3 linked regions of the Ovis aries genome follow. The protein of the gene in region 1 purifies or fractionates together with the protein of each later gene. This does not show direct contact. Links are inferred from orthologs where the notes say so. Each region holds a gene or a part of one and is shown in the gene's direction. Other genes may lie near its edges. The genes, in order: RRP1B, SRSF1 and LYAR.

The links.
Region 2: the proteins of RRP1B (region 1) and SRSF1 purify together in Homo sapiens (co-immunoprecipitation; 3 studies listed by BioGRID and IntAct, with this or other methods). This does not show direct contact. The link is inferred for Ovis aries from reciprocal best matches to the Homo sapiens genes RRP1B and SRSF1.
Region 3: the proteins of RRP1B (region 1) and LYAR purify together in Homo sapiens (co-immunoprecipitation; 3 studies listed by IntAct, with this or other methods). This does not show direct contact. The link is inferred for Ovis aries from reciprocal best matches to the Homo sapiens genes RRP1B and LYAR.

Annotation. Positions count from the first base shown.
Region 1 is NC_056054.1:264,427,177-264,430,822, forward strand, and holds part of RRP1B (ribosomal RNA processing protein 1 homolog B), read left to right. Parts: intron 1-388; coding exon 389-408; intron 409-989; coding exon 990-1,121; intron 1,122-1,630; coding exon 1,631-2,295; intron 2,296-3,646. UniProt on the Homo sapiens protein: Positively regulates DNA damage-induced apoptosis by acting as a transcriptional coactivator of proapoptotic target genes of the transcriptional activator E2F1.
Region 2 is NC_056064.1:8,495,120-8,499,311, reverse strand, and holds the start of SRSF1 (serine/arginine-rich splicing factor 1), read left to right. Parts: upstream 1-1,266; 5' UTR 1,267-1,375; coding exon 1,376-1,569; intron 1,570-1,982; coding exon 1,983-2,167; intron 2,168-2,532; coding exon 2,533-2,705; intron 2,706-2,908; coding exon 2,909-3,103; 3' UTR 3,104-4,192. UniProt on the Homo sapiens protein: Plays a role in preventing exon skipping, ensuring the accuracy of splicing and regulating alternative splicing.
Region 3 is NC_056059.1:105,504,196-105,507,841, forward strand, and holds part of LYAR (cell growth-regulating nucleolar protein), read left to right. Parts: intron 1-530; coding exon 531-638; intron 639-761; coding exon 762-845; intron 846-3,646. UniProt on the Homo sapiens protein: Plays a role in the maintenance of the appropriate processing of 47S/45S pre-rRNA to 32S/30S pre-rRNAs and their subsequent processing to produce 18S and 28S rRNAs. Also acts at the level of transcription regulation.

The DNA of each region.
Region 1 (3,646 bases):
ACATAGTGAGTGGAAAATGACAAGGTCCTAACCTATAGCACAGAGGACTGTGTTCAATATCCTACAATACACCATAATGGAGGAGAATTTGAAAAATAACTTACATGTGTATAATTGAGTCACTGTGCCATACAAAAGAAATTAGCATTGTAAATCATCTATACTGTAATAAAAAATATGTTGAAAATTGGAAAAGAAAAAACATACATTGATAATAGAGCATTGAATTGTACACTTTAAATGGGTGAATTGTTTGGTATGTGGATTATATATCTCAGTAAAGATTTTAAGGAAAAGCATATCTTACATCGTAAAAGGTTAGTGCATGTGTTTATGGGGGGCAGGAAGATGCAGTTTCTTTAGGAAACTTTGTTGTTTTCTTTTTCAGATTCCAAGATCTCTCTGAAGGTGAGGAAAATCAGAAGATTGTAATTGGTGATGTTCTCAATGAACATGGGCACCATGGAGCTGGGCGCCATTCTTCTTGTTGGGGTGGGGCTGGTGGGGATTAACAGGTGGATTCCAGCTTGAGCCTTCCTGAAGAAAAAAGGTCAATGTCAGAGTCTCTCTCATTGGGATCAGTCGGCCTCCATCCCTTCCCTCCAGTACCCCCGGGGTCAGGGAGGGGAACGGCTCCTTGGAAGCTGGGTTACATTTGAGCCAGGTGGGTGTGTCTGCTGCCCCCGCCTCTTGTGCATTTGGGGTGCTTCAAATGGGGGTCCCACAGGCCTTGCCGAGATGTGGAGGTGGCACATCCGAACCCTGTGGGGTGAGCTCTAGAGGCTGTCACCCTGGGTCTACAGTCCCTGACCTCACCTCAGCTAAGAAACCTGCAGAGCATAGTCTATAATTCCGGCAGCAGCAACTTTTCAGGTTGGGGGTGGAGAAGCAGTAAGGGACTCGGCAGGAATCAGAGTTGAAATTACCCACATGGGGGCAGGGCCATGTTTGTCTCAGAAAGCTGACCAGACGTTGTCTTTGGTGTCCAGCAGGCAGTCTCTCTCACCTCAGTTTTGCTGAGGATACCACTGCTGACGAAGATGACCAGACCCGCAGTCAAGGAACACATAGGAAGAAAGGGAATAAACTTCTGGAGAAGACAGACATGGCAGAAGGGAAAGGTGAGCTGCAGAGCTCTCGGTCAGCACGCGGTGGGCCAGTATGGCCCAGGGAGCACCTTTCATATCCACACAGGCCACTGCAGAGTGAGAGCCATCACTCTGAAGGGCCGAGATGTATAGAGAGTGTCTCTCCAGCTGTTGTGCTGTTTGGGGACCGTGCTCCAGCCTTGCTGAAGTGGAAGCATAGCGGACTCCCCATGCAGGAAGAGGGTGGGGATGTGGACGTCCTAGGTGGACGTTGCCCTTCGGGGCACTTGTTTTATTACCAGATATGGGCCTGAAAATAAGTAGGAATCTGAATCCTATTTCAGATCTATTTACATCAAAATAGGCCTCAGGAAGTTTTCCGGGTATGGTTGAGGAGGGGAAGAGATGGGGAAGTGAGAAAGCTTGTGGGGTTCAAGGACACAGAGAAGGGCCTGGCGGGGACTGGCGACATGCTGTGGGTACCCCCAACCCTGGCAGGTCCCCTGGGCACTGGGCACTTGTTGACTGACTTGTGTCTCTAGGAACCACGTTTTCCCCTGCCAAGGAAGAGAGCAAAGGTGGCATTCCAAAGAAAAAGAGGAGGAAGAAGAAGAAGAAGCAACTCCAGGCTGAATGCACAGGGCCCAGTGGGGAAGCCACGCGCCCAGTACAGAATGGGAGCCAGGAGCCAGAGGCCAGTCCCAAAAGAGCCCCAGAGGAGAGTGGGGCTGAGCTGGGAATTTTGGCCATGCCCGGCACCCTGGAGCAGAGCAGCTCGGAGCTGCCCTCCTCACACAACAAAAGGAAACGGCCCAGGAAGAGGAGCCCAAGGATCCAGGTGGAGGGCCTGGAGTCAACAGCATCATCTCTGGAGGGGGTGGCCCCTCAGGCGGCCCCAGCCAGTGGTGCCCCTGTCCTGAAGAAGAGGCGGGAGCTGGGAGCCCTGCTGGTCAACGGCAGTGGCCTGCCTGTGCTGGCCTGGCCCCCACCCCAGAGGGAAGGGCCCCCTGCCAACCCAGCAGACAGAAGGGACTGCCCCACCTCCCTGCCCCCAGGTGGGAAACTGAAGAAAAAGAGTGGAGGGCCCAGCGGCCTTGACCTTTATGACTCGTGCGCTCAGAAAGCTGCCATTTTGAAAAAGAGGAAGAAAATGAAGGAGATGTCAAACTCAGTGGAGCCCAGAGGAATGAAGCTCATCCCGGCCCTGGTAAGGCAGAGGGGGGCTCCCAGGCAGGAGTGTCAGGGCCCCGCCCCCTCGGCCCCAGGGCAGGGGGCAGTCAGACCCTGGACCAGGAGCCGTCATGGCTCCTAACACCTACCAAGGAGTAAATAGTGACCTGTCTCAGAGGCGTCCAGTGCCTCCCCTCCCACCCCCATCCCCAGTGATCAGAGGTGTGACAGGGCCAGCATCAGGCTGGGGGATCGCCCCAGTGGCCCAGTGGGCACTCCACCTCCATGGAGTGAACAGGCAGGGTGCCCCCATCACATGCGGAGCTCATGTTCCTCCAGCTCCTGGCCAGTCCTGGGCTCTACTGGCAGGAGAAGCCCCAGACTCTTAGCCCTGTTCTTCTTCACTGGAAGCTTTGCTCCTCTTGGCTCTCTGGAGCAGATAGAAGGGCTCAGACTCTGGGTGTGCAGCTCTCGCCCTCCTCCTCATGCATGCGTGTGGCTGCGCCCATGCAGGGCAGCCGTCATCTCCCTGGGCTGCTTCCACTCCTTGCAGAGGCAGTCCTCACAGCCTGCGCGGCTGGATGCATGACCCCCTGGGCCTCCCAGCGCCAGCTCCTGCCCTGCCTAGCATGCGTGCCCACGGCTCCTGCTTTTTGCAGCACTTCTGCAGAGCCCGCTCCTGTTCCAGAGCCTCAGGGGTCAGCGAAACCCAAGGTGGCCCCTGTCACACAATGGTTTTGGCAAGTCTCTGGTGTTCCTGACTGAGAAGTTTGTCACCTTCCTCTGGAGGGAACCTGGAGCTGCAGACCTGGGCCAGAATGCTGCCCCTTGTGGAGGAAGACCTCCCCAGGACGCGGGCACAACTTGTGCCAGGCCTCACAGCGCAGGACCTCCGAGGGGTCAGTGGGAGGTCTGAGGGCAAAAACCCATTCAGCTGGGATCCAGGAAGTCCACTCCCACCTCAGGCCTTCCCTGACACTGGAGCACCTGTGTCACGTCCCCGGGGCTCTCCAGCCTCTGCCCACCACCCAGTGGTCATTGCTGCTCATCTTCCTTAACTGAGAACATCTGAGAAGTTTTCTTTTTTCCCTGGCAGCCCCTCTTGGAGATGGTTGGAGGGTCTGGGGAGGTCTTCCTCCACAAGGGGCAGCATTCTGGCCCAGGTCTGCAGCTCCAGGTTCCCTCCAGAGGAAGGTGACAAACTTCTCAGTCAGGAACACCAGAGACTTGCCAAAACCATTGTGTGACAGGGGCCACCTTGGGTTTCACTGACCCCTGAGGCTCTGGAACAGGAGTGGGCTCTGCTGTGGGCGGGTATCACTGTAAAGTCCCAGGGAAGGTTCTGTGCCTGCCTGTCCCAGGCCCCCGGAACCTGACAGCTTCACACC
Region 2 (4,192 bases), on another chromosome or scaffold:
AACTGCCTTACAGCCCTGAGGAGAGGGACTATTACAAATACATACATAAACTGAAGAAAATCATCCTTACCCTTAGGGTGCAGAGCTAGCTGTTTTAGCATATTTATGACTGCAGGTTTGTTGTTTTAATTTGAATTCATCACTAATAATGTAAAGTTCCAGCATTTCATATAAAAAACCAGATTTCAAATAGATATCTCTATAGGAAAAAATGTAGAAGTTCTAATCTCCCTGGACCTGACTAGCAGATCAGTCTTGAGCAGCAACTGTGGTCTCCAGCGGCCACAGCAGTTCTCACAAGTTCATTGGGCTCATTTATATTACTTGAGAGGCCTGCTAATGAGTTCAAAACAAGGAACTTCAGGATTCTGCATACACACACGCAGGCGCGTGTGTTTTTTCTCGTTCTTTGAAAAAGGATGGAGAAGTAACAGGCACCATTCATTCTGCAGCCTTCAATGCACCTTTCCGCTGCGTTGGGCCTAGTAATAGGCGATGAAAAAAGAGAGAGATCTGGGTCCCGGTTGGTACCACCAACGATTGGTCAGAGCAGGAATCGCCGCCACTAACAAACACAAGCAGTGTTGAATGTAGTTATTAAATATATACAAAGCTTGGTGCTGAACCGAAGGTAGAACGGTACTTGATGTAGAATCTAAGGAATCTAAGCTCGGCTCCCCTATATTACACAGTCGTCTAGGCAGCGCACAGGTTCACAGGAGACGAGGCGGAAACACAGTGATGGCTTGCCTCTGCACAGAATCACAGACAACGCCGACTCCCGGACTGGGCGCAGTCTCCTAAGACGCGCCCGTTTCCGGAGCAACCGCCCAGTCCCTCCCCCATTGACTCCGCCCCCGGGGGCGTCTTTCCCGCCCAAGGCCGTTAACCCCGCAGAGCATTGTGGGATAAAGCTATAGGCTAGGTTTCACTAAATCCTTCCAAAGCGCCTTTGCTTTAAGAGACTTATTCCTGGGGAAACTGATTATTCTTTAGGACTCGACAAGATTAATAACCCTCTTTTACAAGGGCTCTGCCCTAAATCTTTACCACAGGGCCGGTCACTTCCTTTGCAAAGCTCTCGGCACCACGGGAACGCGGGAACTTTTTTCCCTTCGCGCGGAGGGTGACGTCGCGCGTGCGCCAGCGTCCCTTTCGCTGCACACCCGTTACGCTCTTGCGCGTGCGCAGTGAGATCGAATAGCTGCTTCCTCCCGCTTCTCTTCTTCCCTCCCCCCCATATCCGTGCGCCGAGCTGATAAAGGCGCCATTTTGGAGGGGCCGCGGGAGACGTGGTGTCGCGGCGGGCTCGCTCTGCCGTTCGCTAGGCTTGGTGGGAAGGCCTGTTCTCGAGTCCGCGCTTTTCGTCGCCGCCATGTCGGGAGGTGGTGTGATTCGTGGCCCGGCAGGGAACAACGACTGCCGCATCTACGTAGGGAACTTACCTCCAGACATCCGAACCAAGGACATTGAGGACGTGTTCTACAAATACGGTGCTATCCGCGACATCGACCTGAAGAATCGCCGCGGAGGACCGCCCTTCGCCTTCGTTGAGTTCGAGGACCCGCGGTGAGGCGGCCAGGGACTTGCGGCCTTGAGGATATAGGTTGGAGTAGTTGGGGAGTGCTCCAAGGCCTTAGAGAGAATGGGGACGTGGGCTCTGAGGTTGGGAGCAAGACGAGTCGGCCGCGCACGAGTGAAGTGAGGAGCCGAGTCGGTGAGGCTTCCCTGGTGACTGGGTCCCCCGGGCGTCTCCGGAGCCGGCTCGCGGGCTCGGAGCGGGAAACTGAGGCGCTGAGGGCTGCTGTAGTGGTCGGGAGCCTGGCGTGCTTCTGGGTGGGGGAGGGGCCGTCCCTATTATGCGGCGCATGTGGGCTCTTCCACCCCGGGTGCGCATGTGCGGGGCGCTGCTGGCTCCCCGACGGAGGTGGCCACCCCTCCCGGCCCTTTTTCTTACCCTTCGGCTTTCTGTAATCACGCAGGGATGCGGAAGACGCGGTGTACGGTCGCGACGGCTATGATTACGATGGATATCGTCTGCGGGTGGAGTTTCCTCGAAGTGGCCGTGGTACAGGCCGAGGCGGCGGCGGGGGTGGAGGTGGCGGGGCTCCCCGGGGCCGCTATGGCCCCCCATCCAGGCGTTCTGAAAACAGAGTGGTTGTCTCTGGTAAGTTGACCGTTCCGCGCGGGTCGATGTCACTTTTGGACAGATCCTACACTTTAAAGTTTTCCTTGCATGCGTAGTTTGACAAATGCTAGCTTTCATGGTAGGTCTTTAAATTATTTCAGTCGCATGGATGAATTTAGTAACCAGGAATTACTGTATTTGAGATTTAACGAATTAGATTGCAGTGTCTAGAATATGAAGATCATTACTTTGTAAATAATTTGGGGCTTTTAATTCTAGAATTTTGAATCATTAACCTAGGATGTTAAAACTAATCATTAATTTTAAAGTAGTCTTGGTTCTAATGTAAATTTTAACTTTAATGTGAAATACTAGGATAATTGTTGAAAAAAACTCTTTTTCAGGACTGCCTCCAAGTGGAAGCTGGCAGGATTTAAAGGATCACATGCGTGAAGCAGGTGATGTATGTTATGCTGATGTTTACCGAGATGGCACTGGTGTCGTGGAGTTTGTACGGAAAGAAGATATGACCTATGCAGTTCGAAAACTGGATAACACTAAGTTTAGATCTCATGAGGTAGGTTATACACTTATTCTTTTTATTGGCCAGAATTGGATACAGTGGTCTTAACTGTGGAATTTGAAGGTAAGATTCAGGCAAGGGTGTCCAAGTAAACCCAGTAAAGTGCCTCTGGTTTAAATTACGTTGTATTCATTCAGCATGCCTGAAGACAGGTGAAAACTTAGATCTTTCAATCGAAAGTTCTGTCTATTCAATAGGGAGAAACTGCCTACATCCGGGTTAAAGTTGATGGGCCCAGAAGTCCAAGTTATGGAAGATCTCGATCTCGAAGCCGTAGTCGTAGCAGAAGCCGTAGCAGAAGCAACAGCAGGAGTCGAAGTTATTCCCCAAGGAGAAGCAGAGGATCACCACGCTATTCTCCCCGTCATAGCAGATCTCGCTCTCGTACATAAGATGATTGGTGACACTTTTTTGTAGAACCCATGTTGTATACAGTTTTCCTTTATTCAGTACAATCTTTTCATTTTTTAATTCAAACTGTTTTGTTCAGAATGGGCTAAAGTGTTGAATTGCATTCTTGTGTAATACCCCTTGCTCCTAACATCTACATTCCCCTCATGTCGATAAATTGTATTTTAAGTGATGTCATAGCCAGGATTGTTTAAATTTAGTTAACTCTCCATGCTCTTCAGACTGTGATATTGTGTAAATGTCTATTCTGCTCTGGTTTGTGTGAACTGGGATGTTGGGGGTGTTTGTGGTTATCTTACCTGGGGAAGTTCTTATGTTTATCTTGCTTTTCATGTGTCTTTCTGTAGACATATCTGAAGAGATGGATTAAGAATGCTTTGGATTAAGGATTGTGGAGCACATTTCAATCATTTTAGGATTGTCAAAAGGAGGATTGAGGAGGATCAGATCAATAATGGAGGCAATGGTATGACTCCAAGTGCTATTGTCACAGATGAAATTGGCAGTATTGACCTTATACTAAAGGCAAGGGTTTAAATTGATTATGTATACATCTACCATAAAACACTTGTAAGCATCTTAATGCAGTTACCTTTAGCTACAATTGCTTTGCTCTTTAAACCTTGGCAATTGTGGCAAAATTACATTGCCCATTTTGTAACTATTTTGCTCCCTTCCCTTTTTTATTTTAATAGGGACTAATGTGGGAAGAACTGGCTAATTTGTCATAATGCTTAGTTACAACTGTTAATGTGTGACCTGCTGTTGGTGTACATGTGGGTACAGGGTGTCTTTAATTCCAACCAGATAGAGTATAATATCAATACTGCTAAATCTGCATGTCCTCTGTGTGACTGATATAGCGTTGCTACTTCATTTTTTAAAGACAAAATGAAAGCAAAATATAGAATTCCAACATATTGGTGTAGATAATCTAGTTGGGAATAATTTTAAGTCTCACCTTCCCCTTTAAACTAGTATTCATAATTGACTCATGTTTAAAATACTTTTAATTTACAAATTAAATTACAAATGGGAGCATTAGATTTAGTTTAGACTTAGGGGGGTAG
Region 3 (3,646 bases), on another chromosome or scaffold:
TCGTTGGTTGGTTAAGTTTATCCCTAAGTATTTTATTCTTTTTGATAGTATTATAAGTTGAATTGTTTATTAATTTCCTCTCCAATTTGTTCTTTGTTAGTGTAGGGAAATGCAGCTTGATTTCTGAGTGTTGATTTTTGTATACTGCAACTGCTGAACTTAATTAGTCCTAAAGATTCTTTCTGTGCAATCTTTTGGTTTTTTGACCTGTAAGATGACCATGTTATCTGGGAACAGAGATCATTTTACTTCTTTCTTTCCAGTGTGGATGCCTTTTATTTCTTGCCTTAGTCATGGGGAGATAGTGGAGAGGAAAGTCTGGTGGGCTGTAGTCCATGGGGTTGCAAAAAGTCAGACATGACTTAGCAACTGAACGGCAACAATAAATTGCTCTGGACTTTGAGCACTCTGTTGAATCTGTAAACATAGGCATTAACCCAGAATCTGGACTTGAGGTGTGAACCCAGTAGTTTGGCTTTCATGAAACTCATCTGTCGATTGTTTATTGCTTTTATCTTCCTTCTCTGTAGAAAATTCATGAATTAATAAAAAGACCCAATGTCAGCCCCAAAGTGAGGGAACTGTTAGAGCAAATTAGTGGTTTTGACAACGTTCCCAGGAAAAGGGCAAAATTTCAGGTATGTATTTGACTGGACTTCCCTGAATGGAGGGGATACGGGCACTTCAGTGACAGCTTCTGTGTACCTGTCAGCATATGGGATAAGTGGGGTTTTTTTCTTTTTTCTTTTTCACCCATTCAGAATTGGATGAAGAACAGTTTAAAAGTTCATAATGAATCTATCCTGGAGCAGGTGTGGAATATCTTTTCCGAAGCTTCCAGCAATGTAAGTCCGATCTCACTCTAGACTTGCAGTGTGGCAAAAGTGGTTAGTAAAAATGAAATGGGAATGTCTTATTTTTGGAGGTCAAGACAGCCTTCTTTTTCAGAAAGCCTCTTTGTGCCTTCATTAATGGGAAGGAATACACTGACTGCACTGCAGAGAAGATTTCCTTATTGTGCAGAGAAAGGTGTTTAATCCCGATGTGTGACAACAGTATCAAACAATCCCGATGTTTGATAGCAATACCAGCTGACTAGACTTGATCGGCTTAGACACCAAGTAGTGGGATGATTGGAAAAGAACAGATGCTTTGGGTTTCTGACAGACCCAATTTGAATCCTTGCTTTGCTGTTCACCAGGCGTTTGCTCTCGGACATTTTATTTAACCTCTCTGAGCCTTTGTTTCCTTGTCTTAAATAGAGGTGGATCGTTAGACTAAGTAGGGGCTTCCCAGGTGGCTCAGTGGAAAGAATCTGCCTGCGGTGTGGGAGACCTGTGTTTGATCCCTGGGTCGGGAAGATCCCCTGGAGGAGGGCATGGCAATCCACGCCAGTATTATTGCCTGGGAAATCCCATGGACAGAGGAGCCTGGTGGGCTACACAGTCCATGGCGTCACAAAAGAGTTGGACGTGACTTAGCGACTAAGCAACAACACAAAAGACCCAGTACTTACTGTGCCCAATACGTGTCAGGCCCTGAACAAAAAACAGAAAAACATCTCAGGAGGGTGATAGTGGCAGGAGGGAAAAATAAACAGGGTGAGGATGAGAGAGGGTGACCAGGTATTCTGGTAGGTGTGGGGTGAGGGGACGTGTCTTAGTATTAAAGCAGATGAGGGAGTACAAGCCTCCCAGCTCATGCCCAGCAGGGCGTGGGCGCTTGGTCGGTGCTGGTCTTCTTCCTTCCGGTGGCCAGAGGGATTGCTTGGAGCACATCAGTAGACCACCTTCCGAGAAGATGTTTTGATCCACGAGGCCCCAGATGTGAAATACACCTGCAGAAAGTTGTAGTGTGACATCTTGTAGGCATGTCCTTGCTTCCGTTGTTCAACATTTTTTCTCATTAACTCAGTTGCACTTTGCCCCTACTTGGGGCTTATATCCCATCTGAAGACATTATTAGTGTTTCAGAACAACAGTGGGGTCCAACTGGTCTTTTATTCTCCTCACAGTTGTCAGCAGTTGATGTGCTTTATGCAGAGAGAATGGTTTTGACCACAAATTGGGATAAAAAATGAAACTTTCTCTTGGCATGCATCTAGCATTTGTCTCTAAACACACAAACTGGCCCTTGAAACCTTATAACCAATCATTCAATTGGCACTTGTGTGGCACCTGTTTTTTTAAAGGTTATTTCCATTATTTGGGGCTTCCCTTGTGGCTCAGCTGGTAAAGAATCCGTCTGCAATGCAGGAGACCTGGTTTCGATCCCTGGGTTGGGAAGATCCCCTGGAGAAGGGAAAGGCCTGGAGAATTCTACAGACTGTATAGTCCATGGGGTTGCAAAGGGTCAGACACGACTGAGTGACTTTCATGATCACTTCCATTATTTTAATTAACAGTCATAAAAGTTTGTGGTTATTTAGCTTAACTCCAGAGTCCAAAAAATAGAGTTTTCCAATTTCATTTTTGAAGCTGTGAATATATAAGAATTAAATAAGATAACCAGTAAGCAGCTCGTGGTAAACTCTAAGCTCTGCAAAATGTAGCTTGTCGTTGCTTTTGGCCAGTGAACGTCCTGGCATGTGCCCGGAGTCGGAGGTGGAGATGGTGCCAAGGCTCTGGGGGTGCTGGGCTGGAGGCTTTGTATCCTTCTCAGGTGAAACACTCACTGCCCCAGTGCACAGCGCTCCTGGTCCCTGTGGACCCAGCCTTCCTTGGACCTGGGTCCCTCCCTCCAGAGCTGTATTCTGGCAGGAGAGACCAACACCTGCTCTAAGAGCTGATGCTGGGATGTCGGGTGGTGACACAGGCCAGGAAGAAATGGGAGGCAGAGGACAGGGCAGAGAGGGAAGGAGGGGAGCGTCTCGCTGTCAAGACAGAGGCAGTGAAATCGTGTCTGAGGAGACCACATTGGAGGAGAGTCTGGAATGAAGTAGGAAGCTGATGGAGAGTGAGTTTGTTCACTCATTGATTGAGGGGCTGCTGGGTGGGTGACTGTGTGTCTCCCTCCCTCCTTCCTTCCTTCCCTCCTGTCTCCCCTCTCTCCCAGAAGCTGGGGTGCATGCAGGGGGCGGGCTTGGTTAGGAAGTGGAGGCGGGGCAGCAGCCGGAGACTGAGCTGAAGGGGGCAGGCCTGGGGCTGCGGTGCTCAGACCCTGGTGGGTTGATGCTCACAACACACTGTACCATAGGATGGAACTTGTAGGACAGGGCGAGGTGTCCTGGTCCCCCTTCCTCCTGAGTCCTTTCTGAACTCATCGCCTGCCTCCCCCACATGTGCCTGGATGATTTGATCTCTGAATTCTTCCTGAAAAAACTCCAGTTGTTTAGTTTAGTCTCAATACCCTAAATACTACTCTTTGAGCCTACGACTGGGTCTTACAGGCTTCGTGAACTCAGCAGAGTGCTTGTACAGGAGTGAAAGCCAGTCCTCCTCCATTTGGTCCCTTTGTGACCTCGCCTCTGAAAGGAGGAGGACTGCCACCTGGCCAGTTACTTAAGAGACGGAGCTTGACCGTGAGTCCCGGGGTTTGCAGGACACCTGCAGCGGCCCCGGAGCTGCAGACGCATCAGGGCTCACGGAGCAGTTCAGTGAATTGCTCCATGTACTCTCTTGGGAAGGGGCAGGCATGGAGGCCACAC